Stegostoma tigrinum: one gene and its partners. The main gene of each other region encodes a partner of the protein of the gene in region 3 in a complex. Links are inferred from orthologs where the notes say so. Each region holds a gene or a part of one and is shown on either strand. Other genes may lie near its edges.

Region 1 (7,826 bases), on a different chromosome or scaffold from region 3:
CCAGTGACCTAAAATAGTTCTTCCTTTACTCTACAGGACGATCTCACAAACTTAGGCATGCTGTATCTGATAAAGTCCTATTTTAGAAGTTGAAGTCATCCAATCACACTTCTGAAAGTCTACGTAACATATCACAATACCTTAAAATCAGCACACATTTACCTGATGCCAAATAAATTGATTTCCATTACCCACATTAATTTTAAAAAGGCAAAATTTCGAGAATCCTACAATTAGTAACTTGAAAAACAGTTTGTATGCAAAACAAAATAATGCAAAACTTGAGCAAAGAAAACAAAATACTAACCCTCTCAATGACCACTGCTGACTTTAGAAATGGCCTCTGAATAATAGATACAGTATTTTCCAGTTGTTAAATATATTTAAAAATCCTACAGAAATATGAAATCTAAATGTTAAACATGGGTTGCTGGCTACATTCAGGCTTAGAGCAGTATTAGCCATTGTAAATGCAGTAAGTTAAGCATTGCAATAAACTACTTGCTCAGTTACACTTAAAAAGCTTTGAAATTATTGCTCCTAGAATAGCCCTTTTAGTAAATGAAGCTTTATAATTTATGCATAGTATGCTATTTCAAATTTTCAGCCTGAATTCTAAAGACACACATTAAAAAATAAACCTGTCTGCCAATTTTGCTAGAGTGAAAAACGTTGAGCAAGTCTCTTGTACAGCCACGTTTCCCACCACATACCTCCAAAAAGGATCTACTCAAAACACAAATCAACCATAAAGAACATTGCCTCGTAAAAAAAGTTACAACTGCTATTCAATACTAGAAAGGTCAATGTTCGCCATAGAAAACAATTAATGAATAAATTCCATCAGATATTCTTAATTATATTCGATAATTGCGCTGGAGCCTACTTGCTGAAACAGGGAGGTTCACATCTGGTAAATTCACACGTAGTTTCTTTTATAAACAGCTAAATTCGACAACAGAATGCTGGCAAAGCCAATTTAGCATAGATTTTTGTCAGCACTATTTTATATTATCTTTCTTATTATACAGAAGCACATCATTCACAGTTCTGTTACGGCAACAATTATTTTCCACAAAAAAAGATCTGGACATCAAGATTACATACATCAAAATATTTCACAAATGGAGAATGTTATAACTGACTACAAAAATGGGCATCAGGCATCTGTATTGTATTAATCTATAACCAGCTTTTTCTTCTACACTAAAACATTTTGGAAAAAATACTTTCTACAAGGTGTCAATGTAGTCATACAAATATTGCACACTTGTGCCTTCTGCAGACCAAGATAAAAAGAGAGCAAAAGGAATTTACAAAATGAAATGCCCAAGAAACTGCCAGCTCACTACCGTAAAACATCTGACAACAACTTCCAAATAGTGATTAAGTCGTCTAATGACTACGATTGAAAATAAACACTCAATACTCAGAAGATGCGTAGCATAAACCAGCTACGTGTCATGGACTTTCATCTCATCGACACAAATTTTATACATTTAACATTCACATGAAATGAAGAATTGGGCTTTGCACTGTGCAAACTGTATAGTTTCAACACGAATATTGTTTTGCTCGTTATTCTGCATAAATGATTGCTGTGCAAGTAGTATAAAACTCAGAACACAGTAATATTTCCTAAATAACAAAGCAGGCGAAGCTCTGAAATGAAAATGGACCACTCACGATGGCTGCTGTTACAAAGCCGATCGTGAAACCTTTAAAAAAGAGTACATAAGCACTTCAGATTAAATGCGACCTTTTCACCAACAGGTCTGCATTTGACGATATCTGCAAATCAATTTTCTGAACAAAATTGCAATGTAACTTGTTACAAAACTTTAATTAAACAGGCGGAGATGCTTTGTACAACTATCGCTTCATCTGTCATCTTTTACAATATTCATAAACAATTACTCTCATGGGACGGGGAAGGATGAAAAGGAAGGTACAGGGAAAAATGAAAACTTTTCACCTTAAAATCACTAAGGATCTTTGTCGTTCAATACAAGGACTGATTTTCCACTTTGCAACAGATTGCAATAGGAACACCCATTTTTTTCAGTTACTTTTTTTTTAAAAAGTGTACTTTGAAGGGGTTGATTTTACTAAGTTGTACAAATTTCACGGAAAAAAATTGTACGTAATGAATTTAAATCGAACGTCACTTATAGTTTAAGACTAGCAATACTCCGGAAAAAAATGAAACCAAAGTCAACCCTTGGCCGTTTATCTATGTATTTAGTAAGTTTGCCTTTATTCCGATCAGTCACCTTGAGCTTGTTGGTATAACATTACAAGTAAAACACCAACACCGCACTACAGAAACTCAGCACATGCACGCCACAAACTGGCTGAATTTACTCATCCAACAGCAAATAGATTGTGCCAAATTACGAGCTTGCTTTTTTTTGCTGCGAGGTTCGATTGCAACATCCACAATTTTAAAAAAATCGCATGCTATTTAAGATTTACGTGCGTGAAAGACTGGTTTAAAAAAATTCTGGGGTAAGAGAGCCCAATAAAAACTATCACCTACCTGAGGAGCACGAAATCAGAAAAACAGCAAAAACAAGCTTGGTACCAGCTCCCATGATTTTTTTTATTGATATGTCTTCTTTTAAAACAAAAACCGATTAATTAGAACACAACGATCGCTGTATCGCAGCCGAGGGTAAAAAAATCTTTACGACTCCACCACGTCTTCTGACTTGCTGCTGGCAGCGATCCACCTTGTAGCAAACGTTCCCCCTTCTTCAGTGGGCAACTTCATTCAAAAAGGTAGGGAATTTAAGCGATAGCATACACTTCGGCTGTCAATGTTTTTTTGTTTGACAAAATACATAGACGTGTAGAGCCGATAACGCCAACAAGGGATGATTTGGGAGGAAGAAAAAACAGCCGCCATTCACATAAAAAGTAGAGGGTGTGGAAGAAAACATACGATGCAAACCCTCAGCTCCTTTGACGGGAATGGTGTACTCGAAGTCTCCCGGAATTCATAATTAACGAAGTAGGCCTAAGTCCAAAATGGCGTTGAATTGTTTTTGTTTCCTTCCCCCTACCCACCCCCAACCCCCGCCCCGAGGTGGATTTCAAAAAAAACGGCAGTACGAGCTCGCGAACAGGCCCTCCTCCTAAACAGAGCAAAAGCGAGAAGCGGTGGGGCGAGGCGGTTTACGTAACCCGATTGGCATCGCCCATCACCAGTCACAGCTCCGCCTGTCTCAAGCGTCAGTGTGATTGACGTCCTGTGAGACCAGTAGAAGACCTTCACTGCATTGTACAAATTCGCTTCCACCCTCCTGCGAAAAAAAGGCGCGTTTATTATTGGATCCTGACCAATCCCCTTCCAGCAGGTAGGCGTGACTGCATATATGTGTGTGTGTGTTTTTTTTTGGCGGGGGATGGGGGAAAAGATGTGGAGCAAAGCCGGCAAGTTGGTTGAGGCGAAGCGTTCAAACCTAGCCTGATGGTAATGACTGACGTGCGCTTCCAGCAATCGAGAGCTGCGGCTTTATTAATTGGGCGAGGAAGTTCCAGACTTGCCGTGCAAATCCGATAAGAAGAATTTTGCTAATTGGTTGGAAGCGATGCGCAAGATATGTAGAGTGGGTAGGGTAAAAGCGCATGGTGTCGGAATGCAATCCGACTCCAAAATAGTTGTAACTTTTCGCTGATCTTAGCTTGAAAGGTCCTTGAAGTTGCTGCATCTTTCATTGTTGCACCTGCCTGCTGAGATGCCCCAATGTTCCTTCCCTGCTTTAGTCGTCTTGTTAGCCAAGTTAAAGGCTAAGCTAAGTCAGTATTCGGGGTAATAAATATTCTTCGAATAGCAGTCTCTTGTCGAAATATATTATTTCCGTGTCAGCCCAATGTTGCGGCTCTCTCTCTCCTAACAGTGAAGGTGAGGGCTCTGAGGGTGACATATCAAATTAATTAGTACCCAGTCGTGAGTTTGCAACACAGTCCACTGTTTTAAAGACTTCGGTATTGTGATTCATCCGGAACTTATTTTAAACATATGTTATTACTGTTTCGGAGTTTCTGATGGTGCATGCAATTAGAATTTTTGTCACTTTGGTGCACAGTCACGTACTTCATATGTAAGTGGCAAACTCCACTTCTGAGTTATTTTTTCCGGCTACCGTCGCCGCTCGCTCGACGGAAGAATGTACTGATGGTAATTGTAATTCTTCGATTTACTCAGCGAGTAATTGAACAAAGCTCCTCGATAGTGATTCATAAGTGCTGCTCAGAAATGGTGCACGTGTTACACAAAGTTTGTTCAACCTGAAAAATGCACTATGCACTAGGTAAACTAGCCCCCCAACAATCAGTCCTTCAAAGCTTAAACTAATTTTTTTAAAAATACCGTTGCACTCTGATTGCACCTTTTCAAAAAGTGCAATTCAATTCTAATACTCCGACCTGTAGGAGTGGTATGGGCGAACTGGTTCGGCTGAAATATTTTTCTGCGTCGATGGGGTGTAATGGTTTAAGGTCTCATTAACTTGATCACCAGCAACATTGGTGACCAATCACGTAAAAGAAAATCGGGTCGTAAAATAGATAACCTTAGAATGACGACAGTCAACTGGCATAATTTGGCTGATAAGAAACATTCTTTTTACCTCGATATGTTTGTCTTTCTGCCAACCCCACACTTGTCACTCCTACTAATTAAACCTATTCTTATCATTTGTTAAAACTTTAAATGTAATACCTTCCCACATTGGACCTACACTTCCTAAATCATCCTCTGGAAAATGTTATGGCGACTCCTGCAACATTGTCTATCAAGTTTCTGCGCCAAGCAAACTACTTGCTTCTCATTCCAGTAATGGTAATTAATGATATGTAATCCCGCGCCACTGACCCCAACCTGAGAACTGGTCTGTCAGCAGTTTGAAAATCCTCCGTAACGTTCAGAATAGTGAAATTCTGATAAAGATATAGGCAACAGATTTACTTCTCTAGTCGGATTGCTACATTCGAGTTCAATGTCTTTGATTTCCATCAAAGCTTTGAACCTGCAGAGGGTGCCTGGGTTATCACGTTACGCGGGGGAGAGAAGAAAGTCAGGTTCAGCTGTGCCTGGTGATCAATTAACTTGATATTTATGAAGGCTGATACGTGGATAATGGCTTCTTGAGCTGGTATGAGACAGCAGCTGCTACCTTTTTAACAGGGAGTTAACAAGCGTTAAGAAATGAGAAGGGTGAGGAAAACAATTCATGGGGGAGGGGAGCCTCAACTGCTATTTCTATAAATAGAAAACAAGGCTTTTCTTTCAATTGAGCTATTATTTGATTATTCTTTTAATCTTTAATGTTTTGATGAAATCTTGTGGGAAATTCAACATGCATTCATGAATATCATAATTAAGATGGAAAAGAAGGCAAATATTTTAAAACTGTTAACTTTGGGATTTTTTTAAAAATCCAGTATCTTGTGTAGAGTTGCTTTTTTGTTCTATGTAACAACTCAGAATGCAAAATGGAAGCTGACACCATTTGACAATAAAACACCGATAAATTTCAATCTTCATTATGACCAGTTTATTTACAAAACACTTATGAAGTTTTTTTTAACCTCATCCAGTTTTCTTCCTTCCTTTCTTAAAGTTCAGAATACATCGCCTCCAGGGATTATGTTCCTCAAGGTACTGGCCACATTCTGGTGTGCCACTTTAAATTATTCTTTAGATCTGAGTCAAGTCAGTTTGGAAACCAATCAATCTTAGACGCTGTCACTGCTTAATTCAACAACAAAAATTTGCATTTTATCTAGTGCCTTTAATACTGTGTGACCATAACTGCTTTTAAGTGAATGCCAGATAAAAGCAGTGGTTACTGGACAATGATTAACAGCAGTCAAGAGTGATGATATTGCCTGCTAATTCATTCAAACCCATTTCACTTTGTTTTCTCCATTCATTTATCCCTGCTTGGCATAAAGGCTATGGAATCTCATTGAAACATTCAGAATACTGAGAGATCTAGATAAGGGGGCTGTGGTAATGTTTCCAGCAATAGAGGAGATTAGGACCTGAGAGCAGGGTCTCTGAATGAAGGGAAGACCCTTCTAAACTGAGTAAAACAGGAATTTTCTTAGCCAGAGGATGGTGAATCTGTGGAATTCATGGCCACAGAAGGCTTTGGAGACCAACTCATTGAGTGTATTTAAGACCAAAATAGGTTCTTGATTGATAACTTCTGAGGCCTGCGATTTGAATTTTAGTCATGGAGGGGAGCTGCTGTGTAGAGATTCTGTGTATATAGAACTATGGTGTTGTTACAAAGTTGGAATTAGTGATGTTTTTTAAGTTGCAATATTTCTATGAAAGCTTATTTGTGATTTGTATAAATTATTTCAAACTGAGGGGTTAATTACATTTTAAAATAACCTAAAGATTGATAATCCTTATGAATAAGGGCTATCATTGTGCTTTTACCTTCTATTGTAACACTTCACATTTCTTGGGAAATTGTCAGGTAGGTTTGGCATGACAGTATACCATCAGAACCAAAATAAAATTGAGATGTAATCTTTTCAATGCTTGAAAGCAATTTTAAATCTGCAGCATTTTTAAATAACACGTGGTCAGAGCCAATGAAATGTTTCATTAATGCCTGTAAATGTTGAGTTTGTCAATGCAATGTTCCTGTAATGGTTAAATTTTCCTTTGTGAAAAGGAGCATAAGATATAAACATAGGTGAAAATGCTAGAAGCACTCAGCAGGTGTGGCAGGATCTGTCAAGAGAGAAAGAGCGTCAGTGTTTCTGGTTTGTATTTTTCATCAAAAACCAGACCAAATCAACACAGAAAAGACATTTTTATAACAGTGAAAAAGGGTGCTATTTGGGTTGACCTCCTTTATTTGTAAAAGTGAATGTAAATAACAATGGTCAGATCTTAAGTCAACTTTTTTGTTACCATATTCTCTGGTCACTGACTGATAAGTATTCAGGGCTCATGTAGTGAAGCAAATTTTTCCCCACACATTCCATCATCATTTCTTCATTTCAGTTCCATAAAACAACCAAATGTACAGTTTTATATAACCAAGAAGTGAGAATAAAAGTGCTGTAATGACCAAATAAAAAAATAACTTGGTCTGACTTTGTAAAAATTACAGAACATAGTATGCCCCTTGAACAAAATTTTCCTACTATTGTTATTGGCGGAAGGCCAGGAAAATAGTGGAAACTATGATGTGATGGCATCCACCTGCATTGGCAGGATAGAGTTTTTGAAGGGACAAGGTGAGAATAGGATTGACTCTCAACAGTGACGGCAGCATCCAAATCTAATCTTCCTGAATACTACTTGGAACATAACTAAAATAAAAATGCAAATAATTTCAAATGGTCATCTTCTCTGATACTTGCAACTTCCATTTTACACATTGCATCTATTGAAATTGTGTGCTTGCGTTTAATCTTCCAGAATGGTGGGACCTTGGGAAGCAACAAGGATCAGAAAGCATTTGAATACATGTACACCAGTCTTTTAATATGTCTGGACAGGTGGATGATGTGAAGAAGATGTACAGTATATCTGCCTTCATTAGAAGAGGCATAGTTGAAGAGCATCAAAGATATGCTGGAATGTACAAAATAAATTGGTTAGACCACAGGTAGAGTATTGTGTGCAATTCCGGTATCCACACTACAGGAGAATGTGATGGTGCTGAGGAGATTCACCAGGATGTTGCCTTGGCTTGAGAGTTTGAGTTCTGGAGGGAGACTGGTCAGACTGGAGTTTTTTTTGAGACTCCAAATTAGATTTATTGTCACGTAGTCAGGTTACAGAACAACAG
Region 2 (7,841 bases), on a different chromosome or scaffold from region 3:
ATACGTACAAAAAGAAAACTCATCCCACGCTGTATTTGTACTTGTTTCGTAATGGTTTGCAGTTTACGCTTTGTGAGGTATCGTGTACGTACTTATACATTTCCCTTCGTACGCCACTCCAATGGTTCTGCCCATCAAGCAGGTGGCGCGTCTGATATGGCAGGCGCTGGCGTACGTGATCCCATCATTGCCGCACAGATATTGCTCGGGGCTCGAAGGTTCAGGGCAGATCCTCGGGTTACACATCACACAGTAGGCGCTGTTTGTCTGATCTACCACACACACAGAGCTGCCTGGACACAAGACATCTCTGCATGATTCTGTAAAACAAAGACAGCAATTAAAAACAAAAGTGAGGTGAGCACTACTGGAAGTAATCTTCTGCAATACAATCGTCTGATTTTATGAGGTTTAAGTTAGTGTTCATAGTAAACACAGATCACTTTTAAATTTGCAATATTTATTTAATAGGCGAGGATTTGGAACAATAAAGAAATGGCGGTGGAATAATCCACTTTCTATACTACCCCAATTACAAACATTTACTGAACGCAATTTAATTTAGGAACAAAATGTGGGGGAAATTATTCTGAACACAAATCAATTCAAAGTTAAAATGCGGGCGGTGTGGAGAATCACTCAATAGACACTGCAAGTGAGTTGAACAATCTGTTAGTTCGCACTAGGAGAGAATGGAATGCAAACATCCTTTAAGCGAGCGGCTCGTCCCTTGCAGAATCGTGTTATTGAGTATGTACTTGTTGCACACATACTTTTACATTTGCCTTGATATTGGACCTCGAGTTCGGGATGCCCTTTGCACCTCGCCTTCAGCAGGACACATTCATCTTTGTATGTTTTCCCGTCTGTGCCGCAAACGGAGCCCTTCCAAGTGACGTTGGAGCAGTCGGGTGCACAGACACATCGAGGTTTATTCTTTTTGTTCATTTTGCACTTTTTACCTGGACCACAATCGACGTTATCACAGGTTTCTATTACAGGGAAAGAAAGACAAGAGTTTTGTGGAAATTGCTTCCATGCATCAATATAATGTTCGAAATGTAAAGTTACATGCCCATTCTTACTAACTGAACTGAGTAATTTATGACAGAACGTTTTGCATTTTTATAAGCTTTCTGTTTCCAGATGTTTAATGCAAGGTTTGATAAAACAGCGCAGACTCAGTCGCCATCTTAACAAACCGCTTAGAAAGCCATGACAATCCAGCGAGTCTTTCTGAAGCAGTTCACTCCAATGAGTCGAGACCGAGTGGGTGATTAGCCAAAGCAAACGCGCATTAGAATCATTTCGCGAGCGATCTGTAAACTTTAATAGGCCTTGCAGGATCCAGTGAAGATGAGCACCAACAGTTCCGAATCAGATAGACCGAGTGAAATCTGTACCTTTACAAGGCGTACAACCCGGGGCTCCACCGTTAAAGATAATCCATCGGAAAAGGGTACTGGATGGCACATCATCTTCGGTCCATGCTGTGCCCAACCTTCCACTTTTGCAGCACTCTTCGCGGCTGACCCCGGTCATGTAAAGAACCTGGCATTTGCCGTTCTTGGCTTGCTGGAGCCAGCAGTTCCCAGCTGCAACACACAGTCAGAGCAGTGTCAGTTTCACCGTTCCAGACACAACACGTGCGCTGTGTATTGACGGTACACGAGTGTTTACTTCAAAGTTTTCCGTCTCAGTCTGGGTGAACCGAGGAGCTTAAAACCACCGACATTTCCCCGCCATGGACAGTAACCGGGTTGCCCCTGAAATGTACACCTCTCTGCCATTACCTTGTGCCTACTTTGAATCGTGACATGTCCCACTTGGAAAGTTACTTGGCTCTGACCCAATACAGCGCAGGCTGAAGTACTGTAAACGCGTGCGGTGGAACAAAAAAAACTGCCAAAACTCATCCTTACAGCGAAAACGCAGAGCGCAAAATCCGAAATAAATAAATGATTGGCGGCCTACTTGTCTCAGACTCATGCGAAAACAAACTTTGGTTGACAATTCGACAAGCGTCTGTATTTATTCTGTATTTACCTACGGCGTCGGTTATGTGTTAAGTGTTAACCGTTGATTTTTAAAAATCTATTCATACAGTCACTCCGGAATAGAAACATAGTCTATTTTCTGTAGTATTAACTCGTTCCAAAAATGCCTGAACTCTGCTGCCTCTTCTGGATAGTCTAGACTTCTTGTTGATACCGCCTGATATCAATCTAAATATATACTGTATATCGAGTTTTCAGTTACATGGAAGAGACTTTGTTGAGGTAGCAATATAGAACAGGCAAATTTAACATCACACAAGTCAATAATTTCCATTGGACCCAGTTATCATACTCGCTTCTTAATCCTGCTTCAGTCGCATGGTGTTACCGATGTGAGCAACATTTAACAGCTCGATCGGACGTTTACATGTTCGATCCATCTGCAACATCAATGAGGCGTTTTGTTTATCAGCAATTCCCCTTTGCTTCTAACTGAATAGTGATCGAGTAAACTTTCACTATCAGGATCCCAGCACATCCTATTTATGCTTAACTATTTGCTCAGAGATAATGCTAAATTGCACCCTGCTTTAATTCTGTACGGCCACATTCTGGTAAATGTGAATTGAGTACACAAACACGTGTGCTACATCGTATTTTGATCTGAAAAGTTTGGAGTAGAAGTAAAGGATAAACCGAATCAGCGTTGGGCTTTATCTTCACTCGAGAAAATAACATGCAGGCACATGACCAAACAGAACATGAAACTAAGAGCCATGTCCACAAATGTATACAGAGAAGAGGTCTCCAAACTGCTTTAACTTACCCTGCACTCGCTGGTCTCCAATGGTGAGGAAGATAAAAAGTGAAATGGTGAGAGACGCTGTTCTGCTGTTTAGCATCCTTAGCATTGTGGCACGCAATTTCACCGCAGCTAAGTACTGATCTGAGAGCACCAGTCAAGTCCGATCGCTGTGTTGAATGAACGTCAATCTGTGAATGCAGTCACTCTTAAATATTTTGGCTGAAAGGGGTCTTGGCTGGTCTCTTTGGTGGGCGGTCTTCTGATGGCATGGTGATGCGTTTGGCAGGATGGGGGAGGAGGAAGTGATCAAAAAAAAGTTAAGGTGGACGGAAACTTAATCAGGTGACATTTCACCGCCTCCTCTAAACTTTTCAGTTAAAATCTCCGTCAATTTCACAAACACAAAATACATCTGTATAACATCCGAGAGCGTAGGCATCCGAGTCTGGTTACAGGTCACAGTGTCAATTTCTCTCTGTAATTGACAAGATTGTACAAGCTCATGGAGAAAGATTGCGGGGGCGGGAAGGGGCTGAAGTAAAATATACTGTTCCTAGGTGTATTAAGGCTTCTGCTTTATTTTGTTCTCTTATTGGGCCACCTTTATATCTACAGCGCAGTAGACATTCTAACCTGTTGATTTTTTAACCAAGCTATATTCCGAAAATAGAAGCCAGACACCATCAGTGGGTCAAAGTAACTGGTCTCAATCTATGCACAAGAAAATATAACAGCAGCCAGAGTAAATGCCGCCCAGCTTTTCTAATCCAATTTCTCTGGTAAAGCGACAACTCCACCCTCAGCTCGCCCATAACCTGTGTACGTAATGTCGATATTTCGTCTCATGTCTATGTCTCGGAGGGTTGGATAGTACTGAAAAGAGTTTATTGTTATGTCTAATCTCCATTAACTCAGCATCAAAAAGCGCGTGGGGTGGTTTTTGCATTGCAGTGTTCTCTTGCAGACTCCTACAGTTTGAACTATTACCAGTATTTTAGTTTTATTATTTATATTAATGATTTCTTGCCACCTGAGTATTTCGGGAAATGCATCACTGTATTAAATGGCTATAGTGCAAACCAAGGACACTGACACCGTGGGTGTGTTCAGCCAGTAGGTATTGGAAAAGCAGTTAGATTTAATACCCAGATCTGGCAAAGTTACGCGTCTCTGTAACTGGAGCAGACTTCGCATGTCTGTGAAATGCCGTAGGCGGTCTCGTATTTTCCATTTGAGATTGTGACATCGAAAGTCGAATTTTAGTGTTGCTCAATGAACTCGCTTTTGGCGGAGAGAAAAAGTACGTAGGCGATCTGTCGCCGCCTATCTCGGGGATTACGTTTCCTTGTTTCATTACCGTTTCGGCGCTATTGCGTTCTGTCCGAAACCTCACCCCAAGAAAAAGATAAAACGCGCGGTCCGACTTTAATTGTATTCAGCCTGATAGGTACAAACAATCAGACAACTTTTTTAGTGTTGATAGGTGCAATGATCTGACTAGAAATAACTCCGCGATAACAGACAGTTTCCACCAGCTGCGGGATAAAGTAGTAATCCTTTAATAAAGACTTATTACAATAGGTTCTTAAAGTCTCTTTATAATAATCGTCAGAAATGCAATCATTCTAATATTAGCAGAGACAGTTGTTTGGGTGCCTCAGGCTGGTGGTAGTAGTTACACTATTTAACGTTCAAAATAGACCTGACAGTGCCATGCCAGCGGACAGTAGGAAAACTTGTTGCACAAGGCAGTTCCACGCAAATAATTTCCGTTTTCAATGCTGCGAAACCGTATTTTCTGTCCCAGATTATCCTGGCCTGTTATTCCACAACATGGCAATTGTGGTTTGATACACGTGCAAAAAAAAACTAATGCAGCCCCCTAACGATCCAAACGAGGCAATTGCAGCTAAAGTGTGCACCAATCGTGATTTCCAGTTTATCTCGCCAAAGCGACCAGAGACTTTCCTTCTTGCCAAATCTAGATTCTGTGTTAGTAGAGTTAGAACCGTGAAAAGTCAACGTAACTGTCACCTGGCGAAGGAAGTCTGGGTTTGAGCAGATACTGGTAAAAAAAACCAAGATAACCTAAAACATACCGAAATACACCTACCATTCCCAAATCAAACTGCGCAGCAGTAGATAACAACATTAGGTAGACGCGAGACATCACATTATATTAGAATTTATTTTTTTAAATAGGCAGTGGAAATTACCAATATGAAGATATTTGTACTGCCATTGTGCCATGTGTCTCTTGCCAATGTTGTTCACATACCTATGTATTTGTTTCTGAAATCCCCTTCCAACGGGAACTACGCACATCTGTCATTCTCGTGATTTACTTCGTTTTATGTGCGTGTCACTCTGGCTATTGGATGTTCAACGTTTGTAATCCAACATCAAGTATCTGTTACAGATTGAGGACTGACGAACTGGACAATCTCACCCAGTTCTGATACATCTAGCGAATAATACCGACTGCTGAGCAATTTACATCCTCAAAAACAATAAAAGGAAAAACAAGAGTTTTGAAAACAAACATAGAATTGACAATAAATTTAAAAGATTAATATTGGAGGCAAACTGACGGGTGTGAAAAATAATAGAAAACAAGTATTGCGCAATATAAATCGTTATCCATAAATGGTAATGAAAATGGTAATGAAAAATCAAGGATAAATGCTGCAACAAAGGGGAATATAAAATAGCACATTAAGATAGTTCCTTTATTGATTCACGGGACGAGGGTGTCCCTGGCTACGCAGCATTTATTGCCCATCCGTAACTTCAGTTAAGAGTTAATCACATCGCTGTGAGTTTAGGTCAGACCAGGTAAGGATGGCAGTTTCCTCCACTGAAAGACATTAGCCAACCAAATGGGTTTTTCCCCGACAATCGATTCCAAGTCGTCATTAGACTCTTAAGTCAAGATATTTTTATTGAATCCAAATTCCACCATCTGCCAATAGCGGGATTCGAAGCGGCTCCCCAGAGCATTATCTGGGTCTCTGGATTAACAGTTTACTGATAACACCGCTAGGCTATCATTTCCCAGTGAGGGGATAGATAGTGAGGGCGGGAAACAGGAATGTCGAGGGTGGAAATTTATGAGAATGAAAATAAAGGAGACTGAAATGCAATTTCCGCTCGTCTACAAGGAAACTGAAGTGAGACCTCTGCAGGACGACAGTTGTATACGCTCATGCACATTTTTGACCCAGTTTCCAGAATCCGACAGGTGCTTGTTGGAAGTTTTACGGATATTGATGAGTTTCATACTAAACTTGAGCAATTAAGAATATGAGTCAAAGTGTTTAAGTTATGGTGACTAACAACAATTTACTATGGCAATCAAAAACTTTAAGGCAATCCGTTACTTCCACTTTGAAAACAGAAACCTTGTCAATTTCATAACAGCATTTGAAACAATTAATCTGCAGCTCCGAGGTATTTACAATATTTGGTGCTTTTCACAAGACTATAACATTGTTAATCAATCATTCAGCAATCCGAATGTGAAACAGAATTTGCGTTCTTCTACAATCCAGAATTGTTTCGATACGAGTACGATATTATTTATCAATATATTTGTATTTGAAGCTGGTTACGAATATGGTTATTTCCTTAGATAATCTAATACGTCAAGCAGCATAGGCCTAGTTACTGCTTCTAATATGCAGAACACTATAGTTAATTCTAAGATCTGAACACAATCCATATCCAAATATTCTGCAAAATTAAATGAAACAAATGAGCTTTACTGTTGTGCCTATTGATTGCATGGAAAAAATAATTAACTAACAACGAGGGGCTTTGGCATTTAATTGCTGGATACCATTTAAGGTAGAATTGAAATCAACGGTTTAGGTCGTCTGTCTCTAAGAGACAAATGCAAACATTTGTCAGCTTTTATTCGAAAAAAGCTTCTATACCCTCCCAAAGCCATTTTCGAATAGCTTGCTACGTGCTTTGAAAATTTAAACATTTTCGTAGCTTTACAAACCATCAGGCAAGTCCTTACTAATTTATAACCATGGGAAGACATTTGTTATTAAATCATCCACAAAAATAAGAAAAATATCAACCACCAAACGGTTAATAAATGCCGGAAATAACCAAAAACACAATAGATCGATCAGCATTTGTAGAGAGCGCCGTCCTGACTGTTTACACTTAATAGGTTCTGACTTCGTAAATTGGTTTTCACAGATATTGACTGCCACGAAATGACTAATACTCTTGAGTACCTGGAATTGTTCAGCGACAAAACAAAGTAAATTACGTATCAAATAAACATGTTCATGAAATGGCGCAGGCCATAAAACAATTGTTTTTGACGAATTTGAGTAACCGTTATCACACCTGTAAGTGATGCACTTGTTCGATCGAGGTTGTCAGTAGTCAAAACTAAACTTGGCAATTGAGTAGCACCCCACTATGAGCATTTATTTCAAATAATTCAACAGAAGGAATTGGATTGTTATGCTCGATGTTATCAGGCAAATTCTCACATGGACCTCAAATAATACCAAACTAACGGGAAAGTACATATTACCTTTAACTTCCCTGAACGTGTTACTTTCGGGACGCGAAGTATCCCAAACAATATATATCATCATAAATATCGTCGTAAATGTCAACAAGTTCTAAAGAAGTCTTGGTGTTTGGTACGTGTCAAGAGGTCCCTTTTACAGTCAATCTGACATACTTTCAATATCTTACTGAAGATTGTTTTAAAAATCAAAAACAAAGAAACGTAATTGCACTAACCGATGCGTGACTAGCACCTTTAGGTTCAACATTTTAAAAATAAAATCAGATCCAAGTTGTAATTTACTATATCAAATTCATGAATACAGCAATGCCATATAATGGCGCAGTAGAAGGGAAAGGTAAATGTACAGTTTCATTAGTCGATTTTCCTGACTGTTTGATATATTCATTGTTAATAAATAGAGTTGAATGACGACCAGAAATCCAATAAAGATGAAACTCTGCTACTGAATGTAAACACGTTCATATTTATGACATCTTAT
Region 3 (7,816 bases):
GAGTATTAAATCCAAACCCTGATACTGCAGCCATATTCATCTACAGGTTTTTTTAAAAACATTTTTAAAGTTTTTCTTTTAAAAATAGTATCCTTGTAGAAATCACACAATAACATTTACACAAATCTCTTTGGTGTCTGTTCGACCGTTGATACAAAATTTCATAGAAACTCGTTTTGTTCTGTTCTGAGTGCAGTTCCCTGTCCTTTCAAACACTTCTGTTTAAGATGCGGTTAGACAGGCAAACGTCGTTTTAGTGCAAATCGCATAAAGATCACAAAGTTAAAAAAAATGTTTAGCCCAGCAGCGGGGCGAACTTTCCTTTCAAGTATCTCTCGTCAGCTGAATATTTACTTCCAAAAGAAGCAAGCGTCTCCTTTTAGGTAAACCAAAGAAAGCCTTTTTTTAAAAAAAAGAGATTGCATAGTTCTGTTCTTAGGCATCTTACACACGTGGAAGTAGTTTTGCAAAGAAGAAAACAGTGCAGCTACTTGGTAAAGCTCTGCCCCGCGTTCAAACAACAGAAAGTTAGATCTTGTGCATTTTGTCTTTGAAAGTGCCATTCAGTGTCACAACATGAACAAAACCAACGCACCAGAAAAAGTCAGGTGTCTGTGTGTAAGAGTGGAAGGTGTGTCAAGTCACAGGTAGGGAGAAGTGGGTGGCTGTGAGGGCCACATGGAGTTTGGTGCAGTTCGACCCATTGCTCTGCCAGACCCTCGAGTGAAAATGTCTGAAGTCTAGAGTTAGTTTTATAGGCTCTGGAGAGACCCAGTCGGTGAACTGTCCTAAATCTGTGATCTGTGTACTATGTGTCTGTTTTGACTCTCTCTCTCTCTGTCTCACTGTGTGACTTTCTGTCCGAGTCTGTCTGCATTATGTGTATCTCACGGGGTTTATGAGCAGCCGCACTCCTCTACGATCATGTTCTGAATGTCCTTTTTCACAATATTGTGCCCGTCATCGTAATACAGCATAGACATTGCCCTGAGTTTGGTGGGGACACAACACGACTTGATGTTGTTGAAAGGGCTGTAGCCTCGGATCCTGTAGTGGTTGATGACGGCCGAGTGGAAGGAGAGGGACGAGCCCGAGGTACCGGCGATGTGGCTGGGACACTCGCCCTCGCAGTAGTTGCCGTAGTAACCAGGCGGCGCTATGATCCAGTCACTCCAGCCGATGTCTCGGAAATTCACATAAAACTGCTTCCTGCAGCAGATGTTGACTTTGCCGTCACACTCCAGACCCCGCTTGCGTATCCGGTGGGTGTGCGCCGTTGATTCCCGGACCAGCAGCATCAGGAAGGGCCGGTGAGACTCCTCCACGTCGGTTTCTATCAGCACCGGGGAGACGCCGGCTTCCAGGCACAGCTCACAGGATACCTTCAGCATGAGGGACCGATCCGTGCTGGCCAGGATCGTCTGCACAGTCCTCGACACGGGCAGGGAGTGCCAGCCGCTCCTCTTGATGTCTACCTGTTTCTCGCTGACCACCCTGCCGCCTTCTCCTTCCTGCGATAGTCTCAGAGTCACTTTACTCCTGCTCCGGTTAGACTTGTTCGAGAGCTTCAGGTACAGCCAGATATTAGCCTGCTCCACCAGGGAAAGGTCCCCTTCCTCCTCCTTGGCGATCTGAAAGTGTACCACGTCCTGGGACGGACCTGAGAGCCACAAAGGACGAGGACAAATGAACATTGTTAGAGCGGGACATTCCGAGCGCAGATTTAACAAAAAAATTTCAAATAATGAATAAAAAGCGACTGATTATGCTGGTCGATCTACTGATTTCTTATACTAATGGTCCCGGGCTTAGCTCCTACAGTCGTACACCACTGGGAGAAAGCTATTCGGCCCGTTTAATCCATCCTGACTCTTTGCACTTGCTGCCAATTAGTCTTTCATCATAACCCTGCAAAGTGCTCTCTGAGTTGATATCAATTTTCATTCCGAAAGTTCTCGTTTAATTTGCCTGCTTGGAGCTTTGAGACAGTGCATTGCAAATCTGTTTTTGTTTTAAATCTCCCCTCTCTGTTTTCTTTGCCTCCTGATCTCAAAGCGTATTGTCACAGACAGCAATTTCCTATTTATTTAATCCATCAAAGCCCTTCATAATTTGAACACAGCTAGTGAATCTATTCCCCATCCAGACTTGTCTAAATCTTTTGCAATCCTTAAACCCCTTTCCCTTGTGACCGTACTGCACAGAGGATGTTGCATTAATAAATAATCCCGCAGATATAAAAACACATTTGCCTTACAATGCACTTTAGTCCGAATCGGAGACCCAGTGTGAGGCTGGAGGATGGCTGACTGCCGTGACTTACCTGCTTCAGCGAAGCTGATGATCTCTGATGCTTGTTCGGGTTCGTTCAGGGCTGACTTGCTGGACCAGTCCTCCTCGATTTCCACCCTGCCGTCCTCCCGCACCCGTCCGACGTGCAGTTTCTTCAAGGCGTTTAAAAGTGCGGCTTTGGGCACCGGGTGAGTGATGTTAGGTCTGCTCTTCATGTGCAACATGTTCAGGATGTGCCGCTTCACGGCTTCCACGAGTTGACTGTCAGCAGCGGCCGGATCCCCCTGCAACTTGGGCAGCGAGCAGCTCGGGCACTGTGAGCCCGGTCCGTCCTGGGCAGCGGCCGTAGGGGAGGCCGTCACCCAACTCGAAGCCAACAGCAGCAGGATCATCGCAGTCAACAGGTCAAAGCCAGGCATCTTCTTCACAGGTTATCGGGGAGCCAGCCAGGAGGCAGGGGCCGAGGCAGAAATTCCCCAAATCGTTTGCAGACAACAACAGAGAGAGAGAGAGAAAAAAAAAATAAATTTGACAGAAGTTTTGTAAAAATGGGCAGGAACTGGTTCCGATTCCCGCTGGAGGTGGCACAGATGCTGTTGCTGCTGCGGGCTATCGGCGGAGAAGGAGAGATGAGATAGGTGTCCTTTCGTAAAACTGTTCTCCCTCTCTGGGACAGCCTGTATCTGTCTCTGCTCCTGCAAACTTTGCACTTGGGAAGTTGTGAAGTTTTTTCTCTTGTCTCTGCTCCTCCTGGTGCTGAAGGCTGGAGACGCACGGCACTGGAGAGCTGCTCCGGTTCCTCACTCCCTCTTAGAACTGCTGCAATATGAGTGCTGCCTCACTTTTGAGGGACCACAGTTCGCGCTTACCGGCAGGAGTGTCAGACCGGAACAGATGACTGCGTGTGGCGAGGCGAGGGGAGGGCAGGGGGTGGGTGTGGATAAAAAAGGAGGCGTACTCTCCTCCTGCCGTTAGGACCAGTGAGGAGGAGGGGAAGGGAAATTTTGGTCTTTTACAATTCGAAACGTGTGAGGGGAAAAAAAATAAGCCGGCAAGGGCTGGGGGTGGAGGTTGGGGGGGGGGGGGGGGTTGGTGGGAGCTTGGAGGGAGGGGAAGGCAGATTGCAAATCGACGTATGCGTGCTTCTGCGTATTTGCAGTCTCTTAACCCATTGGAGAGGGAATTCCTGAAATACTTTAACTGCGAATCTAAAAAAAAACACCGCAGACTCAGTTGGCATTTCAGCCCTGATTTCGGGACCGGCTCCCTCTCTCTTTCCTCTCAGATGAGCGCGTCTGTTACCAGACTGTATGAGCTACCGTAGGGAGAGAGAGAGAGCACGAATTCTGTGCAGATGGGACCTTCCAACAGTTAAAATGTCAAATAATTTAAGTCGTTTATTTATAGACCTGCTTGACTCTCGCTTCTAATCATAACCAGGGTACAAATAAGCACGGTTCGCTGAACCCACCCCCGTCCTAAATATCTAGGCGGTAGACCTTCTGCTGAATTAAATGCCAGTTGGGAGGGTTTGGTCTGTGAAAGATGCCAAGCTAGTGGAGTTCTCTGTTCTCCTTTGTTGCATTTTAACCAGCGCACCAGTACAGACCCGCGTCAAAAGGACCAGAGGCGAGGGGGAGACTCGTATCTGAATGTCGGAAGGACCGCGTTCATTCACTGACAATGAGTTTTCCACAACAAACACAGAAGTGGGGTTAAAACAGGACTAAAACAAAAGGTTAGATTGTCAACGGCTGGTGCAAAACTGCATCGCTAATACAGTTCGCGCAAGGTACAATGATTTGAGGTTCAACCTACATCCGTGGGTCACGTATTTAAGCCAGTTTCGCGTACTCCTCGCTACGTATAATGACAGAATGTGACAATTAATGGCTTCTAGCCGGGCGCTACTGCTCCCTGGGGAAGGGGGGCGAAAAGTTTATTTTGTCTTCATTGTTTTCAGGTTCTGAAATTCATAACATGAAACAAATTCTCGGAACTGTAAATGCCCGATGGAACACTTCCCATTCTGGCGGTAGCGCCCGGATTCGCAGTTGGCGGAGCTGGCTATCACTTCAAGGATACTGAGTTGTCAAATATTCCTTGTTAAAGTTTCCAATCCCGGGTCTGGAGAACAGGCTTTGACAGGCTTCCGCGACGTATTTCATGCCTGTGTAATAAACACGGGGGTTGTCATTAAGTCATCGTGTTGTAAAGGACTGAGTCAGGCTCACGTAAAGATATCAGTGAAACTGCACATAACGAATCACGCTGGGAGAGTACCCCTTCCTCAACCTCGCCGTCTCTCTGTCCCTGTGTTCATTTCTTTTTTACGTTTCTGCGTTTGTCTTTCACCTCCAATATCTCTTCCAGACTCTGCTCACCCCGCCGCCAACCCCAACTCCAAGATATTTAAAAGCGCCACATTGTAGATAACTAATGCAATCAAACGGCGCGACTAATTCAGAACCAAAGGCAGAAATTGTTGCTAACACGGCCAGTGTGAAGCGTTAACTCTTGTTCTCTCCCCACAGATGCTGCCAGACCTCATGAGTTCCGCCAGCAATTTCTGCTTTTGCTTTAGATCTCCAGCATCCGCAGTTCTTTGTTTTATTTTAGCGTCTAAATGAGAGCTTGTTAGACGAATATTCTAGTAGTCCTATTGTCATAAACCGCTCACTTCTGTTCCGCCTCACTGGCTGTAGTAAAAAGACCTAATTTTTCTGAGTACAGTTGAAACACTTGTACTCTCTGGATGGATTCTATTCAGCCCCTAGCTATTTTTTGTGGAAGAAAATGAAGCTTTTAACCCAGTACGTTATGGGTCAACTGATCTTAGCTATGCCGAATATTTCTGGAAATTCAATCCAATGTGCCAGTAACTTTTCTGGATACAGATTGACTGGAATCTTCAAATAGAAAGGAATTGGCCTCATCAAAAAAAAGTGAATGTATCCTTCCATCTGCTGGCTGTGTGCTGCTTTGTTTCTTCATGAACTCACATGTTTGTAACAGTGCCAAGTAGTGGTGTGTACATGTGCTTATGTATGTAGTTATAATATATAAATACAAATGAGTGTGTTTCCCAATAGTTTTTAGACTGTTACTTGGCTGTTTCGTTTTGGGAGTGGTGGATTAAATAATAATGAAGGCCAGCATTGTGCCAGTTTCCATTCAATGACCCAGTATGTGCTGGATTGTGAGAACATTTTACTATTCTGGATGTGTGGAAGTTTCTGTGCCATTATTGGGCATGTTGCTGTGCACTAATTGTGTCCACGTTCATGAACACTTGACATTACAGAATAGTGACAGCATGCCTTTAAGATGGACCGGCCATCTGCATGTGCATGATTTAATTTACATGTAAATAAAATTCTCAATGCATTCGATTGTAGCTATCACTATATGGTTTGAATGTTCAGATATTTTCATAGCTACAATGAATATGTTAATCTAGTATGAATGCATTTTCAGCTTCAAATTTGACTATATTTATTTATCAGGAAGTCTTATTCAGATGGATCTTACTGAGGACATGTTGTGGCGTAGGAACAGAAGGTTTGGTGTTTGCGCACAAATCTTAGATGATGACATAGTAGGGTAGATTAACAAAGTAGTTAATATCTGATTACATACCTTTCCTTCATGTGTTAATGATCTTGATCTTGAAATGCTGGGGATATTCCCAAAGTTTCGGACAATACACAACATAGAGGTTTTGTAAACTGAAAAGGACAGTATAGAATTCCAAAGGGACATAAACAGGCATGGGACAGGGCAGATGGGTGGCAGATGAAGTTCAATGTGAAGAAGTGTGAGATGCTGCATTTTGGTAGGAAGAATGTGGACGGACAATATAAGACAGGGAGTACAGGAGCAGAGGGCCTAGGTGTAAGGTAACATGTCATAGACCCAAAAGACTGGTCTCCCATTAAAAAGAGTCTACAGTTGGTAGATTAGCCTCAGGGGTCACCATTCCTCAGGCAAGTGGAGAATCCAAGAAGAAAAGTCCATCATGGTTACTTCAGCCAGTGGCATCGCACTGTGCTGAAAACCAGCTGTCTAGTCAACTGAGCTAACCAACCCTGGTCTTGGTGCATATGTGCATTGATCAGTGAAGGTGGCAGGGCAGGTGAAATGAGCAGTTAATAATATATTGTATCCTGGGATTTATTAATAAGGACATTTGAGTATACGGCAAGGAGGTCATGCTGAACTTACACAAGACACTTGTTAGTGCTCAGATGAGTATTGTGAACAGCTTTGAGAACCAGCACTTGAGGGCATTGGAGGGAGAGCAGAAGAGATTCATGAAAATGATTTCAGTGATGTGAAATTTCAGTTTTAAGGAAATATTTGAGATAGTGAGGCCATGCTCCTTAGTGGTAAGGTATTTAAGAGGAGATGTGAACAATTTTCAAAATCACAAGCGGTCGAGATAGAGTAAATAGTGAGAAACTGTTCCTGCCCATAAAGATTTGAGGACAAGATGGGAAAAGATGTAAAGTGATTTGTCAATGCCATAGGATGTAAGAAAATCTATTTCACACGAGGTGTGGCTTGGGTCTGGAATATACCATCTGGAAGTGTGGTGGAGGAAGATGCCATTAAGACTTCTGAGAAGGCATTGGATGATTACTTCCATTAAAACAATGTGCAAGTATATGGGGAAAAAGCAGGAGGATGATGTAGTCATGAAGCTTGTGAGAAAGCCAGTGCAGACTCAACAAGCTGAATGGCCTCTTTCAGTGCTGTTTCCATTGTCTGAATCTGTGATGTGAATTTCTGAAGTTGACAAGTATAGGCATTAAGTATAAAAGAATGGATGTTAACTGAGATGGATTACTCTGTCAGCCACTCCTAGAATATAATGTCCTGTTCTGGGTGTCGTTCTTTGGGAAGATGTTCAAGTCTTGGAAAGGCACATAAGAAATTTACTAGCATTGTTCAGAGATGAGGGATTCCAGCTATGTGGATAGATTGGAGAAGCTGAGGCTATGTTCCATTTAAGTGTCTTCCAACCAAAAAGCAGGCACATCACCTATTGCGGTTTCAACCTGAGCCATTTTCTTGACATTTCTGTTGGTAGTTGGTTTCTACCAATTGATCAAGTGATGAGAATGTTGGTGGCTGGGCCAGAAGTTATTCCCTGTCTCCAATTGTCATTGACTTCCATTCTCACAGATAGAGCAAGGATAAGGTCCTATGCTTACTTCAAACAGAGTGTAAATTGAACCTGTGCTTTTGGCATTATTCTGACCTATGTGTAAGCCATGTAGGGAGTTAAGCTAACCAGCCTCATAGACAATTTAATAGAGATATTCAAAAAGCACGAGATATTTAGATAATTCTGTTTCCAGTCTATCTCCAATAATTTAAGTGTTGATAAACAAAGTTCATGGACTTAAGGTAATTGACGAAAATACATGAAGCAACATGGGAAATTTTTTTTAACACAATGAGTAGTTGAAACACATAGCCTGATTGGGCAATGGTATGATTCAATTATAGCCACAGAGAA

The links. Proteins that work in one complex are often made in the same cells at the same time.
Region 1: the proteins of inhbab (region 3) and acvr2aa are in contact, whole or in part, in a crystal structure (PDB 7U5P), measured with the Homo sapiens proteins. The link is inferred for Stegostoma tigrinum from reciprocal best matches to the Homo sapiens genes INHBA and ACVR2A. Residues at the interface, in NP_002183.1 of Homo sapiens: Ile340, Ala341, Pro342, His346, Arg397, Pro398, Met399, Ser400, Met401, Leu402, Tyr404, Asn409, Ile410, Ile411, Lys412, Asp414, Glu421; in NP_001265508.1 of Homo sapiens: Asn36, Asp53, Lys56, Phe61, Thr63, Lys65, Val74, Lys75, Cys78, Trp79, Leu80, Asp81, Asp82, Ile83, Asn84, Val100, Phe102.
Region 2: the proteins of inhbab (region 3) and follistatin-A-like are in contact, whole or in part, in a crystal structure (PDB 2P6A), measured with the Homo sapiens proteins. The link is inferred for Stegostoma tigrinum from reciprocal best matches to the Homo sapiens genes INHBA and FST. Residues at the interface, in NP_002183.1 of Homo sapiens: Asp315, Phe327, Asp337, Trp338, Ile340, Ala341, Gly344, Tyr345, His346, Gly360, Thr361, Gly363, Phe368, Thr371, Arg397, Ser400, Leu402, Tyr404, Asp405, Asp406, Gly407, Gln408, Asn409, Ile410, Ile411, Lys412; in NP_037541.1 of Homo sapiens: Trp33, Arg35, Val44, Leu45, Arg60, Phe76, Met79, Asp135, Glu152, Pro154, Glu155, Val180, Val181, Asp182, Gln183, Tyr188, Val190, Arg221, Thr224, Cys225, Arg229, Ser230, Ile231, Gly232, Leu233, Glu328.

What each region holds. Positions count from the first base shown.
Region 1 is NC_081360.1:83,447,181-83,455,006, reverse strand, and holds the start of acvr2aa (activin receptor type-2A), read right to left. Parts: upstream 3,068-7,826; 5' UTR 2,595-3,067; coding exon 2,540-2,594; intron 1-2,539. UniProt on the Homo sapiens protein: On ligand binding, forms a receptor complex consisting of two type II and two type I transmembrane serine/threonine kinases.
Region 2 is NC_081354.1:127,252,279-127,260,119, forward strand, and holds the start of follistatin-A-like, read right to left. Parts: upstream 3,068-7,841; 5' UTR 2,909-3,067; coding exon 2,824-2,908; intron 1,596-2,823; coding exon 1,404-1,595; intron 993-1,403; coding exon 774-992; intron 321-773; coding exon 93-320; intron 1-92. UniProt on the Homo sapiens protein: Multifunctional regulatory protein whose primary function is to antagonize members of the transforming growth factor beta (TGF-beta) superfamily including activin, myostatin, GDF11 or bone morphogenetic proteins (BMPs).
Region 3 is NC_081358.1:9,313,781-9,321,596, reverse strand, and holds the start of inhbab (inhibin subunit beta Ab), read right to left. Parts: upstream 3,089-7,816; 5' UTR 2,712-3,088; coding exon 2,324-2,711; intron 1,661-2,323; coding exon 897-1,660; 3' UTR 1-896. UniProt on the Homo sapiens protein: Inhibins/activins are involved in regulating a number of diverse functions such as hypothalamic and pituitary hormone secretion, gonadal hormone secretion, germ cell development and maturation, erythroid differentiation, insulin secretion, nerve cell survival, embryonic axial development or bone growth, depending on their subunit composition.